Rhinolophus ferrumequinum: one gene and its partner. The protein of the gene in region 2 binds, or shares a complex with, the protein of the main gene of each other region. Links are inferred from orthologs where the notes say so. Each region holds a gene or a part of one and is shown on either strand. Other genes may lie near its edges.

The links. The genes of interacting proteins can lie anywhere in the genome.
Region 1: MED1 (region 2) and MED4 share a complex: the UniProt entries of both Homo sapiens proteins name them as parts of the mediator complex. The link is inferred for Rhinolophus ferrumequinum from reciprocal best matches to the Homo sapiens genes MED1 and MED4.

The regions. Positions count from the first base shown.
Region 1 is NC_046287.1:89,285,537-89,297,005, reverse strand, and holds the start of MED4 (mediator of RNA polymerase II transcription subunit 4), read right to left. Parts: upstream 4,551-11,469; 5' UTR 4,480-4,550; coding exon 4,355-4,479; intron 1-4,354. UniProt on the Homo sapiens protein: Component of the Mediator complex, a coactivator involved in the regulated transcription of nearly all RNA polymerase II-dependent genes.
Region 2 is NC_046304.1:36,119,672-36,130,299, forward strand, and holds the start of MED1 (mediator of RNA polymerase II transcription subunit 1), read right to left. Parts: upstream 4,434-10,628; 5' UTR 4,231-4,433; coding exon 4,206-4,230; intron 2,058-4,205; coding exon 1,951-2,057; intron 1-1,950. Other genes in the region: CDK12 (cyclin-dependent kinase 12), read left to right, coding at 10,114-10,628. UniProt on the Homo sapiens protein: Component of the Mediator complex, a coactivator involved in the regulated transcription of nearly all RNA polymerase II-dependent genes.

The DNA.
Region 1 (11,469 bases), on a different chromosome or scaffold from region 2:
TATATAGATTAGGAAAAAGTGTATAGCAGGTAATATTTATACATTAGTTCCAAACTTGTCGACAGATGAGATTTTTCAGAAATTATGCAGGAAGCGACAGCTTCGCAATTTGCTACGTGACACTAGTCAGCCCCAGTGTTTGTACCTTTCCGCTGGTTGCCAGGCTATTTTTACCTTCTTATTTCCAACTTCCTTCCTGCTAGCCTCATATTATTTTTCTGGATGGTGCCAACCGTACCCAAAATTCCCCACAGCACTGTGTATGAATTAATTAGCTAAATAATGAAAAAAGTGGATACAGGAATGGAAAGTCTTCATTCACTCATTCATCAAATATTTCTTGCGTGCCTATTATGTGTCAGGCACTTTCTAGATGTGTGGGTTATACAAGTAAACAATGGCACTTAAATTCTAACACAGGTGACAAGAATAACAAACAATAAAATACAAAAATAAACCCAGAGTTAAAAGTTATAAGCGAATTTTCGACTGCATGGGGAATGGGTGCCTCTAACCCTTGCCTTGTTCAAGGGTCAACTGTATCGCACCTCAGGTAAATTAGAGGTAAACAGAATTAATAGACTGGTGTGGAAATCTCAAGATTCCTATCAACAGGGTTTCTGTGGGGCAATGAGTTCTGAGTTATTATACGAACAGGTTAAGAAAAACTTTTTGACTACAATCTATCTGTAAGTTTTCATTTTTAAAATTCCTCCAAAGACTACCTTATTCTGTCACGTTTTACAAAGTAATAAATATACTGAAAAGCTATATAATCAGGTTAACAGTAAAAATTATATTCCAAATTTCAAAGCTACTATTTTGAAAAGTCAGAGGTTACATTAGTGAGGAATTTTTCTTTTCATTTTTCATTAAAAATGTAATGTAATGAGAAGTTTCATTTACAGGATAATGACAAACTTCACAGATCACAGAATCAGTATATGCACTATGGGCACATAATACAACTTTTTTGAAAGCCAATTACACTGGAGTAGCGTCATTCTATGGAGAAGTTTCAATCAGTCTTAGGTGGCAAACCACCAAGACTCTTGTCCACCACCACCTCCAGGATAATAAAAGAGGTAAATTTTCACTTACCTACTGTCACCTACAGTCTTTCTTTAGACATGAACAAATAAAACAGCATGGCAGATAAGTCATGAGAAAAATCAGAAAAAGAAAAATGAACTTCTAAGACAATGGTTATTACCGAAGCCTACAGAAAGAAAGAAGCCTATCACCAATTTATCAATAGATTCAGTGAGGAAGACTACAAATAACAAATCGGTCTTTTCGGCATTCCTGGAAAGAGAGCAACAGAGGAATTACAGCTTCTTTTAGAGGAAGCAAAAGAGGACTCAGTACCTCAACTGTTCATGTACAACTGAAAAGCTGAAAGAGAAAGTTTCACAAATATTGAGGTTCTTCAGGAAAATTTAAATGATGATTCATTACTTCAGTGAATAAATACATTTCACACAGAAAATGCTATATACTTGATAATCAAGGAAAGAATCAAATACAAAGAGGAATAAACTGGTCAAATCTGGATATATGAGAATTTCAATTTAGTCTCAAATTTAACATAACATAAATTAGTTATGTTATCTCAAGTGGAGAGTACATGAATATCAATTATATGCACTCCTACACGTACCAACAGCATCTGGAAAACACACCTCAGATACACAGCCCACTGCCACAGCGATCCACAGGCAAGAACTCAAGATTGACCGCTGGGTTGTCTAAGGTCAGAAGAAATTCTCCAAGACCATTAGTCTGGTAAGTAGACTCAGAAACAATTCCTGAACTTAGTAAACATGAAATATAAAATACACTAGGGTTACTCAGAAAAACAGACCAACAAATTATATTACAGCAAGTAAAACTCAAAAATAAATCAATTTACTGGGCTCCAGAGCAGAAGGGTGAGACACTGAATATACTCAATGAATACGCTAAGGCAAAGATTTGAAATTCTAAGACTAAGAAGTACTCAGAACAAAAGGCAGCAGTCACTACTTCCCAAAGGGGGTGTCACGTCTTTATAAAGTCAACATATTTACAGAAAAATTAATCACTACCATCCATTCCATATGCTTGGTCAAAATGAATAAATAATAAGAAACATTTTAACTCAATTTCGTACGTGACAGTATCATCAAGATTCCTTTGCAAAGACGTTAGAAGCCAGTCAAGCATTAGACTTGGCCGTCAGGTGAGCAGTCTCCCCAAAGAAGATATAGCTCAACGGACCATTTCAAATAGAACACGATCCAGAATTTAAGGAAGTGGAAAAATCACCTCAAACAGGAGCAACAGAGGTATTTTCCAATTAATCATTAGTTGCTCTGAATCTAATGGAACACAAATTTACATCAGAATTACATGGCTGCCTATTCAAGGTACTTCAAAGTACTCAGAGACCCAGTTTGGATGACCAGTGATTCTAAAAGCAGGTAGGTTGAATGCATTGTTCTGCAAATGACAGTTGGCCCTATTTAGAAAAGTAGTGGGCTAGTCAGTGTGTATGGGATGTTAACTTGGTGTTTAAGAACTTAAAAAGAATAAGTCCTGAACGTGAACTAAATGAAGCTTCAACTAGCTGTCCCCAAGAGTCATGTTACACAGAGCAGAGACATAAATAATTGAACGAAAAACTTATCGTGAAAACGCTGTCTTGTTAGTGTCTTTTTACTAAGAAATCATGCTGGTATTCATTGACAGGATTAACTGAAAAAGGAAACTGACAAGGTTTCTGACAGGAACTACAAAACCAACAAAAACAGAAGAAAATAGCGTTTACATTCATCTGTGTAAACATTTACACAGAGGCAACACATTAAGGCAGCTGCCTTATGCCTCTGAGTTTCTTGTTCACTGTACTGACTGCTGGTTGTCTGTAGATTCCACGTGCTCTATTTGTAGTCAGGCAGCATTTGAGTCTAATAGTCTAAACAGTGGATTAAACCCATAAACTATTTAACTTCTGGTGTGTGTTTTTATTACATCACTTAATATCATGCTGACCTACTCATCTGGTAAGTAATGCATGCCATAGCAAGGACTAAATTCACAGCAGATAAAATGCTGACCATTAGTAGGGTCAGGTAACATAACTGTCCAAGAGTGTTGGCTACAGAAAAGATGACATTTAAACTGGATTCTGAAGGATGAATGAATGATTCATCAAGTTGGAGGTGGAGTGGGAATGGCACTAAAGATGAGGAAGTAGAACTTTAGAATAGAAAGCATTCACTGAGGCTGGAGTGAAGGGTAGGGAGGTCGGAGGGATGTGGATGTAAATGAGAACAAGAGGATGGATAAATTCAGAGGAAATGGAGAATGGCTTTATCCCACACTAAGCTAAAGAGTTTGGACTTTATCTCATCGGGCAATGGGAACCTACCAAATATTTTAAAGCAGAAAAGTAATTCGAGATGCCTCTTTAAAAGATAACCCTGTTCTTGGGCAAAATAGAATGATAACGTGAAGAAGACGCCCGTAGGCAACGCATTATTTAACAGTTAAGAATAGGATGTAAAACAGTGTGGATGAGAACAAGAGGTCCAATCTCAGCGACAGTTTAGGGGGAAGAACCCAAACAATTTTAACATCCAAGTGAATGTGAGGGAATTAAGGAAGCCTCCAACTTGACAGGCTATCATGAAAGATGACAGAATCCGGAGAATGACATCCAACTTCATCTCATACCTCTGCCATGCACACTGCACTCCAGCCGTCCCAAACCTGCCATTCCACCGCGTCGCGCGTGCTCAGGTTCCCAGGCCTTTGCTACCTGCCGCCTAGTGCATCTGGTGAACTCGTTCTTCCCAGGCAGTCCTTTCCCCAGGAAGCCTACTCTGATTACGACCAGGCCAGGCGCCTCGTCCCCCTGCTCTATTACAGTAGCGCGCAGCGCAAGCTTCTGATAAAAACCGGTTCCGCGCCTGTCATCTGTTTACACGTCTGTCCCCCTTGACAGCGAGTGGGCTCCTTCTCGCGGACATCTAGTCCCCCGCTCACTACCGTGTCCCTGCCCTTGACAGCCGGTAGTAGCTTTTTAAATGTTTCTAGAGTGTCCGTGGTCGAAGGGGCTCACACCAGGCGATCTCTATGGTCTGCTACGGTTCTGGCAGTCTTGGGGTTCCAGGGTCATTATTAAAACGTCCTCTGGCAGGGGGGTATGCGGGGGGGAGGGAATGCCGTCTGGAAGTCCCCGACGGCTGCGGACGCCACGTCCACGACAACCTCGCCGCTGTCTTTGGAAGTGAGCGCGGGGGTCACCCTCCCCGCGGAGCCCCTGGAACTAGCGCCAACCCTGAGGCAGGTCCTCAAGCGACGACATTACCTCGACAAGACCTCCAGATCTTCCAGCGCAGACAGCAGTCGCTCCCGCGTGCTGTTACCGCCCGCCGTTCCCGAGCTGCATCCCGGCCGCTCCTTCTCCTTCTCGCCGCTCGAAGACGCCGCCATGCTCCTCACGGGCACGCAGCCGGCGTCTGCGCAGCTGTGCGCTGGTGAGGAGAGGCGGGCTCGGGAGGCGGAAGGAAGCGTCACCGAGGAGGGGCAGAGAGGCCCGGTCACAGCGCCGCCTAGGGGCCTGGAGGTTCACTGCGGACGCCTGCGCCATCTGCTGGGCCAGAGAGGGCTTCTGCGATCCAACCCCAGCTGGCAGGCGCAACTGGGTCAGGTTCTACTGCACCTTCCATTCTGCAAGTTGGAATGGGAAGCTTCTGCTCAACGGATTTTAAGCTTTGAAGGAATTACGTAATGGCCTAACTCTTGTATCAGCTTCTTCGTGAAATGGGCGGGGTCTCATCAGTATTAAACTCTCTTTAGTTTTCATTTCCTTAACACTAATCCCACCCTACCGTTTGGCCTCTCAGGAGCTGTAAGCACCTTAGCACAGGAACCATAATCCATCTTTTTATTTTCCCCTGCTGTTTTTCTTTATTGTGGTAAAATACAGGTAACAAAATTTACAATGTTAACTGTATAAGTGCACATGTCAGTGATATTAAGTACATTCATATTGTTGTGCTACCATCACCACCATCCATCTCCAGAACTCTTTTCATCTTGTAAAACTGAAACCCTGTATTCATTAAACAACTCCCCATTCCTCCATACCCCTAGCGCCTGGGAAACACCATTCTACTTTCTTCCTCTGTGATTTTTGACTGCTCTAGGTATCCCATATAAATGGAATCATACAGTATTTGTCTTTTCATGACTGGCTTATTTCACTGAGCTTAATGTACTCTAGATTCATCCACATTGTAGCATATGTCAGAATTTCCTTCCTTTTTAAGGATAAATAATATTCCATTGTGTATATACACCACATTTTGCTCTGTTGCTGGACATTTGAGTTGCTTCCACATTTTCGTAATCCATCTTTATAATCATGTATCTCCCAACAAAATGTGTTGCTCATTGCTCAAGATGACTGTTGAACTGAATGAATCAACACAGTATGTAAGTGGTAGTTAATGAAAATAATTTAAATAATTGGTGTAGCACAAATTCCAAATCAGAACTGAGTATCAAAGCCAAAAATGTACCTTAGCCCACTTTTCTGGGGGAGAACAATGTAGTAGGGGACTTTCCTACCAGGAAAACCCAAAGCTATAACAGTATTGGGAATGGGAGTTCTGCATCGGGTCAAATTGCAGTTAGAAAAGATGAGATGGGGAGAGATCAGCTACAGACAACAGCTGGGAATGAGGCAGGAGTACGGTGGTCCCCTCATTCTAGCATCTTGTCCTCTGATCTGTCCTTCTGCTGGGTACCCAGAGCTGAGGATTCCCTCAGGGACTCATGCTAAATAAATTCATTCATAGCAACTGCTATATAATCCAGAATGCTGATTTATTCACTTACAATGAGCATGATTTTACTCATAGACAAACCTACACAGAAAGCCAAATTATCACCAAAGTGTTGCTTATAAACTTGGATCAGAACAAGTGAAGATAGATTTTTAAAAAAAGAATTAATGCAATCATCAGGATTTGCATCTTCATAGGGTAGGGATATTTGTTAAAGAGATTGGAATATTTGTGTTCATAGGTCAGGGTGCCTCCTCCCTGAGACAATGCAAAAGACTAGTGGACACTTTTGTTTTTTAACCATCCCCCACTTCTGCTCCTAACACCTTCTATTAATACAGTCTCAGGCAATGGAATAAATTAGATTTACCTTCTATTAATACAGTCTCAGGCAATGGAATAAATTAGACTTAAGCTTTCTTAGTTACAATTGTATTCTAAGCATGCCTCTCAGTAGCTCTAGTCAATAATATCTTATGTTACTTTTCCAAGGGCCTAAACTCCTGCCGTCTATGTGGGATTTGTTTACTCAACTCTCACAGGTTCACCTTGGGCCATAATTCTGGCAGGAAGAGAAGAGGCTCATATTAATGTAGCTTCCACATAAAAATTCTGGGAAGATTCTAATCAATTTAAAATGACCAATTATAGTCGCTACCTTACGGGCATTGAGGGGGTCAATGTACGGACACTATATGTGTTTTGTGAATTCTAGACCTCAAAGTTATTGCAAATTTATATGCACGTTGAATATTGTCTATAGACTGATAAAGTAATAGCATATCCTACAGATAAACTCTTCTGCAAACTGCAGATCTAGCTGTGATGAATAAAATATGAATTATTTATAATATAGTAATTAAATATGAATATTTTATATATTTTATTGTTATTATAATAACCAAATTCATGGTAACTTTGAGTGTATTTTCTCCATCTATAGATTCAAAAGGATAAGTACTACCTTCTTGTGAAATTTTATGTATTTAACCTGCTAGGCATAGTTCTTTCTAAGCACTTTAAAAAAAATGAACTCATTTCATTTTCATAACTCTCCCAGAGGTAAGTATTGTTATTATCTCTATGTTACAGATAATGAAGCTCGGAGGCTGAGACGTTAAGAGACTTTCCCAAGGTCCCACAGCTAGTAGGTGGCAAAACAGGGATTTAAACCCAGGGTCTCTCTCCAAGGTCTATGCTCTTAGCTACTGGTTATCCTGTCTCGTTTAAAGAAGGAAGTGTCTTCATTTACTGAAAAAAAGGTTGGGAACCTCTGGTCTAAAATATAAGCACTGTGAAATGCACAGTTTAGAATTCTGTGTAAAAAGCTACAAATGTTTGGTGTGGAGGTTTGAATGTGCAGCAAGAAACTCTACCAGGCCTGTTCCTAAGAGTCAGGAGAAGAGGTGGCTGCATATACTATGTCTTTTTTTTAAAGTCATTTTTTATTCTAATCAATATAGCACTCAAAGATAACTCAAAAGATAACAAAAATGTTCTCATTCTCCATTTCCCCAACCCCCATATCCTGTCATATCATTTTCCATAGCAGCAACCACATGCAACATTTTCAATTATTTCTTCTTTGCTTTGCTTCCATATTTTTACATAATATGCATATATTCTCTATGTCTATTGAACACTTTTAGAGATTTATTTCTGTCCCGGTATGATGAACAAAGATCTTATCTCTCTAACATATCCCATTCCCTTCCTCTATCCTCTCTATAGAAAAAATCCTTTTTTTTTTGTTAAATCCATAATCAATGCTTACATTATTGTACTCGTATTTACACATAACTATGTGATTGCCATTTGTTTGAGATGCCTAACCGACATCTCTGTAGAGATTTTAAAAATAAAATGGAATGGAACAGAAAATTTCTAAAACATCAAAGTGCATTATACTGCTTTGTAGACATTTTTTCAGTTATATATTTATGCATGTGTGTACTGAGACAAATATGAAATATATTTTTTACTGTGTATTAAAATAATCTGCAAGCATCAGAAAGTAGGAAGAATATCAACCCTAACTCTTAGAAAAACAACACTTTTTACGTGAAGGGCCCCAAAGGCAGAGTCTGTATAACTTGTATTGTGGGGGCAGAAAGTTAAAGCAAACCTGTACAAATACAGTGTTGCATTGAGGTGACTATCTGGGATGCCTTACATAGATGGATAGAGTTAGAGGCTAAATTGTATGCCGTCAAAATACTTACAGTGAAGTGCTAACCCTCAGGACTTCAGAATGTGACTGTATTTGGAGGTAGGGCCTTCAAAGAAGTGATTAAGTTAAGTAATAATAGCCTGAGGGCGGGCTCTGATCCAATCCCACTGATACCATTATAAGAAGAGGAGATTTGGACAGAAGATTTGAACACACTGAGGGATGTGGGCACACAGAGAAAATACCATGTGAGGATGCAGTGAGAAGGTGACCGTCTGCAAGCCAAGGAGAAAAGTCTCAGAAGAAACCAACCCAACACCTTGATTTTGGGCTTACAGCCTCTAGGACTGTGAGAAAATAAAGGTCTGTTGTTTAAACCACCCAGTCTCTGGTTTTTTATGTCAGCCCTAGCCAACTAATATGGAGGGGTTGTAAGTCAAAGGGTATTTGGAGATTTCTAAAATTGCCTTGCATAAATCTTTGACTTCCTTGCCCCTGTCTTGATTTGTCCTACTCTCTTGGCAAGATGACACCCTAGACTGAATGCAGCTTGCTTACTACATACCACATGCCTGTACAAATGCAACTGAAAATGGCTGCAGGAAAACACAAGCAAGTCAACTGGTTATACTTGAAATTCGTAACTCCAAACCCCAAACCCGCAGTGGGCCCTTGACGCTACTGGACAAACTGTATATCCTTGTTTAGACCCTCTTCACATTGTTGACCCAATTTCACACCATTTCCTTTCTCCAAACCACTCCTAACCACTCTCAACTTATAAGATCTTGCTTTCTAATTCACTGAGAAAAGAGGAGAAATCAGAAGAGAGGACTCGTACAGATTGCCACCACCACCACGTTTGCCCACGCATCAGCATTGCACCCACAGTTCTGCCAGCTACTGCGCATGAACTTCACCTGGCCAGAGTACATTCTCCCATAGTTCCATTCCCTTGCAAAGACACTGAACCAGCAGTTCACCCCATTTCCCATCTTACCAAGTTTTCATCCTCTACTCCTTCTCATCATCACGCCTGCTGCTATTTTTCTAATTTAAAAAAACCCCAGCCCCACTTTACTCACCAACAACTGCTCTACTTCTTTGCTGCCTTCTGCAGCAAAACACTTTCAAAGAATTATCTAAATATTTTGTTTCCAATTCTATTCCTTCCTTATACTGTTTCCAATTAGTTTTTCATTCTCACTTCCCCACCAAAACTCAGCTCGTAAAGGTCATCAAAAACCTCCATGCTGCTCACCGTTCCCTGTGTTTGGTCTCTCAGTGGCCCTGGACACATCAATCACCCCCTTCTCCTTGATAACACTTTCTTCCCTTGCTTTTTAGGATGCCAGACTCTCTTCACTTTTCTCTTCCCTCACTGGTTGGTCTCTTTTAATCTGTCTGGCTGGTTCCTCTTCTCAACCGTGACCTCTAAACAAAAGAGTGTTTTAGGGCCACTTCTTTATCCTCATCTCTATCTACACTCACTTTTGATCATTCATCTGGTCCAGTGGGTTTAAGTATAATCTGTAAACTGACTCCCAAATTATTTCCTACCCAGACCTATCCTCTGAATTCAGGCTTATATAGCCAACTTCTTCCCCAAGGATGTAAGCCCCATGAGGTGAGACTTTCTTATCTATTTTGCTCACTGGTGTAGTGCCAGAACACTGTCTGACAGAGTGGGCACCAATAACTATGATTGCATTTGTTGTTGATGGAGGTGCTGCAACCTCCTAAGACTCTGAAAACAACTACTAGGTTCTTTCACTTAGGTGTCTAAAGGACGTAAGCAAATTCCTGTTCTACGTCCCTCATCCACCCACACCACACTTCCTGCAGCCTCCCTCAACTCAGCTGATGGCAACTTCTTCAATTTCATTGTTCAGGCAAAAAAAAAAAAACCCCAAAAAACATGGGGTTATCCTTGACTCCTCTCCTGGTTTCTCATACATCACATCCAATCCATCGAGAAATCAAGATAGTTCTGCCTTCAGGCCAGAACACTTGTTCATTTCTCACTTTTCCTCTTCTAATTGCAGGTTCGCACCTCCATCATCTCTCACCTGCGTTTTCTGAAATTGCCATCTAACTGTTCTCTCTGCTTCTTCCCTGATATCTACAGACTATCCTCAACACAGCAGTCAGAGTTATCATCTTTAAAACTCAAGTTAGATCACGTTATTCGTCTAATCAAAGGTCTGCATGGCTCCCCATTCCACTCAGAGTACAAACCAAACACAATGAGGGGTGGCCGGTTAGCTCAGTTGGTAAGAGCGTGGTGCTAATAACACCATGATCGCCGGTTCAATCCCCGCATAGGCCACTGTGAGCTGTGCTCTCCTTAAACAAAAAAATCCCAAACACAGTGAGCTATGAGGCCTGCCATAATCTGACCTGGTATTACTTCTCTGACCTTCCTTTCTTTAATTTCCTTTGTTCACTCTGCTCCAGCCATTCTGGTTCTGAAGCACATCAGGACAACCCTGTCTAAGGGCCCCTCACACTGATTACTCTGTCTGCCTTTATCTATTGACCCCCAGATAGTCTCATGACTTATCTCTCACATCCTGCACTTCCTATTCCTTTCTCAAGGAGGCTCACCCTGGCCACCCTTTTACTACTGCAATCTGACCCCCACATTCCATTGCCTTTACTCTGCTCATTTTTTCTTCATAGCACTTATCATTTTCTAACATTCTAGGTAATTTAGTTGGTATGTGTTTTGCTAATTGTCTCCCCCTGAGTCCAGAATTTTTTGTCTTTTTGCTCACTGGAATAGCTCAGTGCTAAAACACTGACACAGAGTGGGAACCAATAACTATGATTGGATTTGTCACTGATGAGGTACTGAAATCACCAAAAACACTGAAAACAAACTGTAGATATCTAAAGTTTTCCCTCTAAACGGTAAAACCTTATTTTCAGTACTTGCGCTCCATATTCTCTTTGAGGATTCTCAAAAGTAATGCAAAACATTTATAACATTCGCAGCCAAAAATGGAATATTTTGCAGCTGTGGGAGAGGACTAAAACTTTCTTCTATCCTCAAGGTTCTTTTGGCTGTTCTTTCTCATGTCTATAATCAAATAGACATGAAGCAAATTAACAAGAGAAAATGACCAAATTTAAAAATAACCAAATTTAATACATATGTGTACATATGTATGGGAATCCTACATACTTGATATCCCACATGCATTAGAGGTTCAGAGACTGAAAGGGAACATAAGTGTCTAAGACATTCTGAGCTAGGGATGAGATAAGTTGCCTTGGGGGTTTCAAAGAGTTTTTGCAGAATGATAAGCAGATGTTTAGTAAAGAGATGTTTGTCCTGCCCTACAGACAGGTCAAAAGAGGTTATCTCTGATAACCTCCCACTATGAGCAAAGCCCCTAATTTAACTTCTAGGTAGTCAAGGGAGAGGTAGAAATTTCTCCTGAGCCTACAGTTAAAGCT
Region 2 (10,628 bases):
CTACTGAGATTTTGTTAGTATATCAGTTGTTGAAAACTCTTCAAAGTCTTCATATACCAATAAAATTCGGTTTTTGAATCTCCAAAAGTGAGAGACAATGGATGTTATGGTGACCAAAGACAGACACTGGTACCTCAAGAAAGGGTCTAAGTAGCCACCTGAAATTCCTTCACCTCATGATTTCTCTCTGACAATATCATTTATAGAACATATTTCAAACTAGAATATGGCTGCCTTGTGCTATAAAAATGACAACCTCTAAATTCCCAGACTGGAAAAATTGCCATTCTTCTATTTAAGATTTTAATTCCTTTTATGTACACAATCCTAAGCCAGAAGATACATACGAGTATACATTTGTAGAATTTACAGTTACAGAAATCTTTTAGCAACATGACACTTTGATATCCATTATCTGATTTGATCCTTACAACAGAATTGCAGTAGGTCCTCGAATAACTTCGCTTCATGAGAAAACATGTTGATGAGAAAACAAAAATCGATTCCTGGCCAGAGCCATTGTCTGTGTGGAGTTTGTATATTCTCCTCATGTCTATGTAGGTTTTCTCTGGGCACTCCAGTTTTCTCCCATGTCCCAAAGATATGCATGTTAGGTTAATTGCCATGTCTAAATTGTCCCAGTATGAGTAAATATGAGTATGAGTGTGTGTGTGAGTACACCCTGCGATAGAATGGCATTCTGTCCAGGGTGGGTTCCCACATTTTGCCCTGAGCTTCCAGGATAGGCTCTGGCCACCCAAGACCCTGAACTGGGAATAGGCAGGATGGAACATAATTATCTTACTTGCTTTTATTAATATTTCTTAAATGTATGTATGCTCACATTTATTTCAATGTTTAATATTAGAAGTGTTTTGGGTCTTTATTTAGAAATTTGGTGATGTTTTTGTGCCCAGAAATATACCATAGGAACTTAACTTTTGTGTATATCAATTAGCTTATGGTAATATTGATTTCGTTATACATCGTTTCGCTTAAAGTTGCAGTTTCTAAGAACCTATCAACGTTAAGTAAGGACTTAATGTATGTGGAAAAGCAAACTGGTATTGTGTGCCTTTACTTTCCAGATAAGAAAACTGAAACTCAGAGATAGTAAATAATTTGTCCAAGGGAACATAAGTAGTAAGCACTGACGTCAAGCCTAAAATACAGGTATTTTGACAGCAAATTCAGTTATTTTGCTAGTGCTATACTGATATGATCATTTAAACACTAATAAACCTACTAAACTGAACTTACTCTGAACCCAAAGTAAGATTTGGTGAGGAGGAGGGGGTACTTCCATTGAAGTAGAGCATATATACAGAAAAGCGTATTAATCTTAAATGAAGAGATCCATGATTATCACAAAGTAAACACACCCATATAACCATTGCCCAGGTAAGTAGAAGTCAAGTTTTCCTGTATCACTTGACCACCAGTGGAATCATATGGATGAACGTTTAACATCCAGCCATGCTCAACCCCGTCGTCCACTTAACTAAGAGCTCACCATACTGTTGAATGACTCAGGAAGGAGCAGTACTGTGGAAAAAGGCTGACAGAGTGAAAAGGTGAAACTAATTCAGAATGAACTGCAAACTCTACTCCCAGCATAGACGCAATGTAAATACTATTACATTAGTAACAAGGAGCTTGACAAGAAGTGAACAATAAATGTCTCTATACCAGTCTATCATGTGTGTCTCTTATTGGTGTATTTCTTAGCACCTTTGCCTACAGTACACCAGTGCACTATAACTCATGATTAACACAATTTTATAAATATATCTCCTTAAGTAGACTCTTAAAACACCTGGGTAGGGGTGGCTATCAACTTTATGATAAATAAAATTAAAGACACACTATAACAACTAGTTTGGAAAAGTCTACACAGGAAGCTGAGCTTATTAAATAATTATCTAAGCACACACCACAATCCTCACTCACCATGACTTGACGCACAAGCTTAAAGGTTTCACTCCAAGGTCTATTTTGGTTAAATTTTGCATGGAGCCGTTCCAAGAGAGAACTCATCTTACTCAGCTTTTCCGATTCTACAATATGAATCAGAAGACATCGTTAGAAACTCTTTCAAGAACTTCCAGTTTTTCTTGCAAATGAAATCCCCATACATGATCCTGGTAAGAACTTAGTTAAAATATTTTTCAGTATCATTTACTTGGAAACATACAAAGAATTTATTTTTAATGACAAGAAGACACACAAATTATGAGTCTAATCTAATAAATACCATAGACTGGAACTGCTTTCTATTCAAACTTTGAATGGGAACCAAAAAAACACACAAACAAACAACAACAAAAAACCTCATCTCTAATCATGTTTCAGGATCAAGACTACAATTTAGTGGCAAAATCATTTCATGATATGCATGAAATCCCTTGCGTGATACATATAGAGTATATATTTGAACATGGCCTTACTATGGTTAATTGATTTTCAATGTGAAAATACAGACTTTCTTAATTTTTTACATAATTTTAAGAGATCAATTTCTAAGTATTATCAAGAAAACATGCTTTGTCATTCAGATTTCTCCTATTTGAATTCAAACTAAATCTATATGGACAGGGAAGAGGTAAATGTCTAAAGGATGAGTTTCCAGCAGAGGTAAGAGAAAAGTAGAAAAAACTGGCTCCTGAACTGTGTGAACGAAACTCCTATGCCTTTAAACCCTCCTCTAATTCTTCTACTGCTTAGAATGAGCAAGGACCTGTAATACCGTGTTTCCCTGAAAATTAGACTGGGTCTTGTATTAATTTTTGCTCCAAAAGACGCATTAGGGCTTATGTTCAGGGGATGTCATCCTGAAAAATCATGCTAGGGCTTATTTTCCGGTTAGGTCTTATTTTCAGGGAAACATGGTAGAGACCACTGGCAATGCAAAAACACACAATATCCCTGAAATGACATGTGTGAAGGGGTCTGGATAAGTTTATGTGGAAATAACCTCAAACAAAGCAAAATGGGATATGCTCTTAAAAACAGACGCACATTATTAATTGAAATTCAAAGGAGAAAAAGTTAGTTGCAGGGATGTTACAGAAAAGGTGTCATTGAAAGACCAACAGAATATCAGAAATCAGAGTTGAGGCAGTGACACCTTCTAAATCAAAATTCAAACTCCTTCCTCCAATTTCCTCATCCAAAAAACTGGTTTTTGAGCTGTTGCAGCCAGTTTACAGTTCTGGACACATTTCTGGCTATTCCCACTTTCAAGACTCATTCACTCAAGCACTATTTTACGTGCTGGGGATACAGCAGTGAGCAAACTAGACAAGATTCCTGCCTCATTGAGTTTCCATTTTACACTGTCATTCCTCTGCACCCAAAGAGTAAACCTTCTTCCTCTCCTTCAAAACACATTCCCCATTCTTTTCTTGAGAAGCCTGATACATATCTTTATATGAATGCTCAAATCAAACTTTTTTTTGAGCAACTACTTATGTGCCAGCGACTATACAATGAATGATGAGTAAGGCAAAGTCCCTATTCTATAATACGAAGCTCAGAGTAAAGTGGAGAAGACAAGTGAAAAATACAGTGAACTGTATTACTACAACTATGTCCAAAATGCTAAAGAAGCATTTAAACTGGAGTGTAGAACTTTAGAAAATTAAGTAAGATTCCATAGAAAAGTTGTTTTCCAGCAGTTCTGAGTTAGCCCAGCCATTGAAAGAATGAAGTTCAACGCCTTTTTAAAAAAATATACAATAGCACAAGATCTGAACACTGACATTCTAGGGAACTGTTGGCTTTTAATATCATAAGGACCTAATCATTTCATTCATGCCAAAACATCCTCCAGTACTTGAACGAATAGCTCTTATTATTATGTCATTTATTCAGATGTCTCTTCTGGAACAGAGGTGTAAGCAGGTATTAGATTCACTCGCCTGGTCTCCCATAACTTTAGGATAAAAATGTCCTGAGGCCCAAATGATTGCCCCTATCTCAACAGGAAACCTTCACAGAAGTTGGGAGCCCCCATCACCCCAAAGTCGGAGCTTTGGATCACCAGGGAAGGCACAGTCAGAATCTGAAACTCACACAAATCCCGCCTTCGGGACTCGGCGCCGTCGGGAGAGTGGCCCCGGCGAAGGCATCGGACCCCCAGCTCCTCTCACAGATTGGCTTCCCCAGCTGTGTCCCGCCCCCTGCTTTCCCCTTCAGTCACTCACCCTCGGTTTCCCCCTGAGCCTTCATCCTGACGGGGAAGGCCTGAGTCCTACACAAGAGGATAAGCCCTTCCCCACCAATACCGGCGGAATCAAGTTGGTTCGGGCTCCCGGGACGCGGGGCACCAGCAGTCCCCACTCTTCCCGGGAAGGTTCAGTCTGAAGTCCCTGGCGGCAAGAAGAGAAGGGTGCTCGCGGCCGCCGCCATCTTCCTCAACGGAACTTCCCAAAGATCGCGAGATTAACCGTGATCCTGCGAGAGAGGAAAAGGGCTGGGCACCAAACTATCGCGAAAAATGGTTAATGCGGTACTTCTCGCGAGATTCTCCCAACATAGCTTTCTCGTGGCTTTAGGTTATCTTAGGTTTACTGCGGTAGGTATGGTACTTTCCCGTTGGTTGTGATCGGTTCCTCTTATGAAACCGGCATTTCATTTTGGCATTTAAGCAGTTCGCAAATTAAAATCCCCGGCTCTCTTTACTGAAAGACTAAGTTTTCGAAGAATATTGGTATTAGAGATGTTTTATTAAAGATAATACGCTTTCTTGGGATACTAGATGGAATAATTATGCCATAAAAAAGATATTGGCCCTTTGTAACACGACGTTCCACCCCAGTCCAGTACACTTAATTCCCATTTCCTTTTTTTTTTTTTTTAATTTCAGAAGTATTTTTTGAGCAATTACAGTATTTTTGAAGATCTAGGAGATTTTGGATTAAGGTAAACTTGTTTTCAACCTTATAGCATAAGATGTTATTAATTATACTTAGGGTCCCAAAGGTGTTCATAATTGATTGTGTCCTTTTTTGTAATCGTAGTGAAAACAAGCAGTTTAGTTTGTATTCTGCACCACAAGTCACAATGTGTAATCATATTTCTTGTATCAATAAGTCCTCATAAAGAGAAATTTGGAGTGATGCCGAGAAGTTCATGGCCACTGGAACTGAAGAACCAGGCTAAAATACAATAGTGCTAACACTGGGTAAAAGTTCTTAACATAGTTAAGGTTACTTTTTTTTTTTAAGTTCTTTTTCCATACAAATCCTTGAAAATAACTGGTGAAAAGTTTGATTTTTACCTAGTTTGTGGCAAATATATTAAGAATGGATTTCTACTAGCCACATCTCAGACTTTACCTATCCTATTTCTCTGAAAATAAGACCTAGCCGAACAAACAGCTCTAATGTGTCTTTTGGAGCAAAAATTAATATAAGACCTGGTATTATATCATATTATGTTTATCATATCATATATCATATCATATTATATTATAAAGACCTGATCTTATAGTAAAATAAGACTGGGTCTTATATTAATTTTTGCTCTAAAAGACGCATTAGAGCTGATTGTCCGATGGTCTGGCTAGGTCTTATTTTGGGGGAAACACGGTACATTTCAAAAATGTTAAGCAAACGTTCTCCTAAAGCCATGCCAGCAGATAACTACAGTTCAGGTGAGCAGGCACAGCAGCGTAAATTTATTGAGAATAAATCTGGAAATGTCTGGAAACATGTTTGTCACCACAAAGTTATATATAACCATGCTCCTTGAAAGTAGAATTCAGATGTATTGCTTGTCTATTCCTCTTACCCCATTCCTTTGAGTCACTACACAGTTTCTTGGGGCAGGAATTTCCCCTCATTTTTAGGACCCCATTATCTAGCACTGTACCTAGGCTTAGTTAGGCAAATCTTTTACTGGGCTTGCAAAGCCTTGCTAGACCCAGCTCTGCTCCCCTTGCCAATTCCCCCAGCCACATTCGCCTTCTTTTATGTGCAGAAAATTCCTACACTCCTCTCCTTAACTGCTAGGAGGGCCTCCTCTGCTGTCTTCACCTCACTAAGACCCTCTTATTCAGATTTCAATTTAAATGTCTCTTCCTCTAGAGCAGAGAAGCAAGCCTTTTCTAACCCCTGACTTAATCAGGTCCCCTGTTATATTATCTCTTTAATAATACTTAAACCATCAAAATTAATTAAGTCCATAATTTGTTCAATGCCTGTCTTCCCTCCTGGACTGTCAACTCCAGGAAGGCTTGCACTGGGTCTGTTTCTTTCACTGCTATCTACTGACATTGCCAAGCCCAGCTCCTGACACAAGTCAGAGACTCAATACATATTGTTGGGATAAATAGAGAGGGTCTCCAGATAAAATAACAAAACACTTAAATTTGAATTTCAGAAAATCAACAAATATTTTTTAGTATAAAAGTATGTTCCAAAATTATTATATAATGTAAATCTAATAACCTTAAAATTGATGAAGTACAGAGAGCATTTATCGAAGTGAGAATTTTCAAAGATAATTCATATTTAAAATTCCGTTTCCTTTTCTGTTGTCAAAGTGCTCTTCATTCAACAAGCATCTATGGAGTCCTAATACTTGTGTATTAGGAACTAGTAATATAAACATGAAAAAGCAGCCCCAACCCTTATTTGACTCATTTGATTTAGAGTTCTGAAAATCTGATTGGTTACTATATTCATGGGTACTCAAAAGAATTTTTGTTAATTTATTATTATGCCCAAAGTATTAACGTTAGATACACAGCTATACTTCCTCATGGAAACTCTCTGTACAGATAAACAATAATGTCTGTATTAAGTGTAGCTAGAAAATTTTAAACCTTATAAAGCTTGAAAATAGAGTAAACTTGACCAAATTTTGGTCACAGAATAGAAGTTATCATTTCTCATCTGAAATGACATGTAAAATTTGTACTCAAGTAAAAGATACCATTCAATACAAAAAAGCATAAAAGGTGCACATAGGAACAATCTTCCTACGTGGCAAGAAGAAGACAATGCGTACATTTTAAATGACTAAGCTTTGAGGGAGACTAAACTCTTTAAACCTAAAATCTAAACTAACAAATTGGTCTGTGTGGGGATAAGAAGTTACTGTAACTTTAAATATTTTCTCTTGTGTACAGGCTAAAGAGAAGCTTTCTGACCTGCTGTGGGAATTTACAGGGAAAGTGTAATCATCACCTGACTGATCATCTTGAGGTTCATACAGTTGCCCTGACTCCCTGCCCTGACAGGTCATGCAAATAAAGCAAATCAAGCAGTTTTGGAATTTCTCAGTTCAAAGTTTTCTGTAGAGTGAAGCAACACTTACACAAAAGCACTATTCTCACCAGTTGTTGGGCCAATCAGTGTGTGTAGTTTAGAGTAGATTTTGTATTTTAAAATTTAAACAGAATCTGAGATTTCCTAGAATAGATTTTTTCCCAGCTGTATTGAGATATAATTACATTAGAGCAGAATTTTATCCACCAAAAGGAGAAAGTTTAGTGCAATAGAGTATTAGCCTAGGTTTAAAGAAAGAGAGCTGTCCCTGTTTCTGGCACTAACTAGTCTTGGTGTAAACAAGCTCCAATTCCTTCTGAGTCTGTTTCATCCATTAGTAGATGCATATAACACCCATCCTGGCCACCTCACCAGGTTATTTCCTTGTTCAGCTGATATTTATTGACAGACTTAAACGAGTCTTGTAGAAAATTAAAAAGTGCTACAGAAATATAAGAGATTATAAAAATTCAGAAAAAGCTTAATTTATTCATTAGGGATCTCTAGTCTGCTTCAATAGGCAACAGATAATTAATCTTTATAACTATAAATAATGCTGTTTAATTTGGATGATTTTCTTTTTCAAGATTTTATTTGACACATGACCATGATTCCTTCCACTTTTCCATTTTACTATGAATGTGGGTGTATCTGGGTCAAAACCTTCATCTCAATTAAAAGTTAGAAAAAAAATCAGAGTAGTTTTGCTGAACTCAGACCAATATTTAATAAGGTGGGCCAGTCACATCTAATTGGCCTATTTAGTCTCATGCCAGCTGCCATCATGTCAGACACTTGGGGGAACCTTTACATCCAGGCCCTCTTGCAGCAATGTTGGGGAGATACCACACCTGAGTTTCAGTACTTAATTCTATCCTCTATTTTTTTTCTTTTTTCTTGATAGCATTAATTTTGCTATTTCCATAGATAATTAAAAAGTTGATATGAAAAGCTTGGTCTTTTTCATTTGTATTCAAGATTTATGGACTTAAACGTTCAAGTAAAAACTTTTTATTAGTACCCATGTAACCAAAGCAACAGGAACATTTTCAGGGAATGATTTTGAAAGTGGATTCTTCTACCTTCATTCAGAATGTTTTCTGACTCCTAATTTACTGGTTGATCTTCCCATCTTTGCATATACAAATCCTATTTACTCTTTCTGGCCCAACTGAAATGCCCTTTTATAAAGCTTTCTCTTAACACTCCCAACCTCATTTTGAACATCCTCAGTGCTCTGTATCATTTCTGTGACATTTATTACCTTGTATCTTGTGGTATGAATATATTATCATTATCCTATTTGAGTGCCCTGGGTGGGTAATACAACACAGAGAAGGGCCTTAAAATCTCACATATACATGTGTTGAAGAAAAGAATGAAGCGTGGACAAGTCACTTAACTTCTCTGTGCCTTAGTTTCCTCTCACAACCCTATTTTGTAGGATTGTTGTGATGGGATGAGTTAATGTATGCGAAGGAGTTCTGAAAAGTAAAAAATGAGGGGCAGTGTAAGATACTATTTTTTCAAGGTTATTAGTATTATGTTTTTCTTGTTCATAATTATAATGTGTGACAATAAAAGGCTAAATAATTCCAGAAGAGCTGTACGTGATCCCAAGAGGTGATGAACTTTCAGGTTCTTAGATTGTTAAGCAGACAGGAAAGAATGCCACACAAGCTTAAGAGCTTGTGCTTTTGTGTCAGACAGGAATTTGAATCTCTTCTTTGGCACTTGCTGGACTAGCTTTGTTACCCTGGGTAAGTTATTTAACTTCTCTGAGTCTGGGTTTCCTTATCTGTAAAACAGGGATGAGGATATCCTGTTTGGGCCATAGTACGTACGAGAATTACAGATAATGCACGTATTGTACTCTATATAAATGATAAGCATTGTTAATACTTAGGGAATTAGGTTGAAATGTCCTTACATTCGCCCTTTGTTCTGTTGACAATATTTTCATCCCGGTAGTTATAAAGTATGCAAAAATTAGTTTCCGCCAAAGCCTGAAAATATTTGTTCAATGAATTATCAATAAAGTTTTGAATTAAAAGAACCTTCTTGCTCCGTTTCAATCAAGCTTTGATCAAATTGAGTGAGGAGCATATCGCGAGAATATGACGGATCGTGTTTTGTGCTCAGGACCTGTTCTCGCGTTGTTTGATAAAGCAGTGAGAGGTGGAAAGGAAGCGCGAAATACCGCGAGCTTAGTGGATTCTCGCGAGAGTTTTTGGGATTGTCCCCTCCCCCCTCCCTCAAGTACCGTTTCGGTTTAACCTAGTGTGTGACTGGGAGTCTGTGAGGGAGCGAGTGAGTGTGTGAGGTATTGAGGTGAGGCGGAGGCAAGAAAAGGGGCTCCCTCAGAAGCGAGGGACAAAGGGGGCGTGGGGCCGCGGGACCCCAGCGACCGGAAGCCGCCCCGAGCCGGGCTACCGGGTAGGGGAAGGGCCCGCGCAGTCCTTACAGGGCCCCAGAGCCGGAGTCGGCCCCACAGCCCCGGGCCGTCGGCTTCCTACTTCCTCGACCTTCCCGGCCTCCGGGCTTGAGGACTGGCTCGGCGGGGGGAGGAGGGCAAACAGACTCGAGCAGCTGCCCGTTGTCTCGCAACTCCACTGCTGAGGAACTCTCATTTCTTCCCTGGCTTCTTCACCCCCTACCTCATGTAGGAGGGTGCTGAGAAGTCGGGAGGGAGGAGGAGCCTGTGCTACCGTCCTTTCCCTCCCCACCCCCTTCTAGGGGCGCTTTGGTAGGCGTGGGGTTGGGGTTGGGGGGGAGGGTGGGGGTTACTTTTTGGAGTGCTGGGGAACTTTTTCCCCTTTTTGAGGCCAGGGGAAAGGGAATGCCCAATCCAGAGAGACATGGGGGCAAGAAGGACGGGAGTGGAGGAGCTTCTGGAACTTTGCAGCCGTCGTCGGGAGGTGGCAGCTCCAACAGCAGAGAGCGTCATCGCTTGGTGTCGAAGCACAAGCGGCACAAGTCCAAGCACTCCAAAGACATGGGATTGGTGACCTCCGAAGCAGCACCTGTGGGAACAGTTATCAAACCTTTGGTGGAGTATGATGACATCAGCTCCGATTCCGATACCTTCTCGGACGATATGGCCTTCAAACTAGACAGGAGGGAGAATGATGAGCGTCGAGGAACTGATCGGAGTGACCGCCTGCACAAACATCGTCACCACCAGCACAGACGTTCCCGGGACTTACTAAAAACCAAACAGACAGAAAAAGAAAAAAACCAGGAAGTTTCCAGCAAGTCGGGATCGATGAAGGACCGGATATCAGGCAGTTCAAAGCGTTCAAATGAGGAGAACGAGGACTATGGGAAGGCACAGATCTCCAAAAGCAGTAGCAA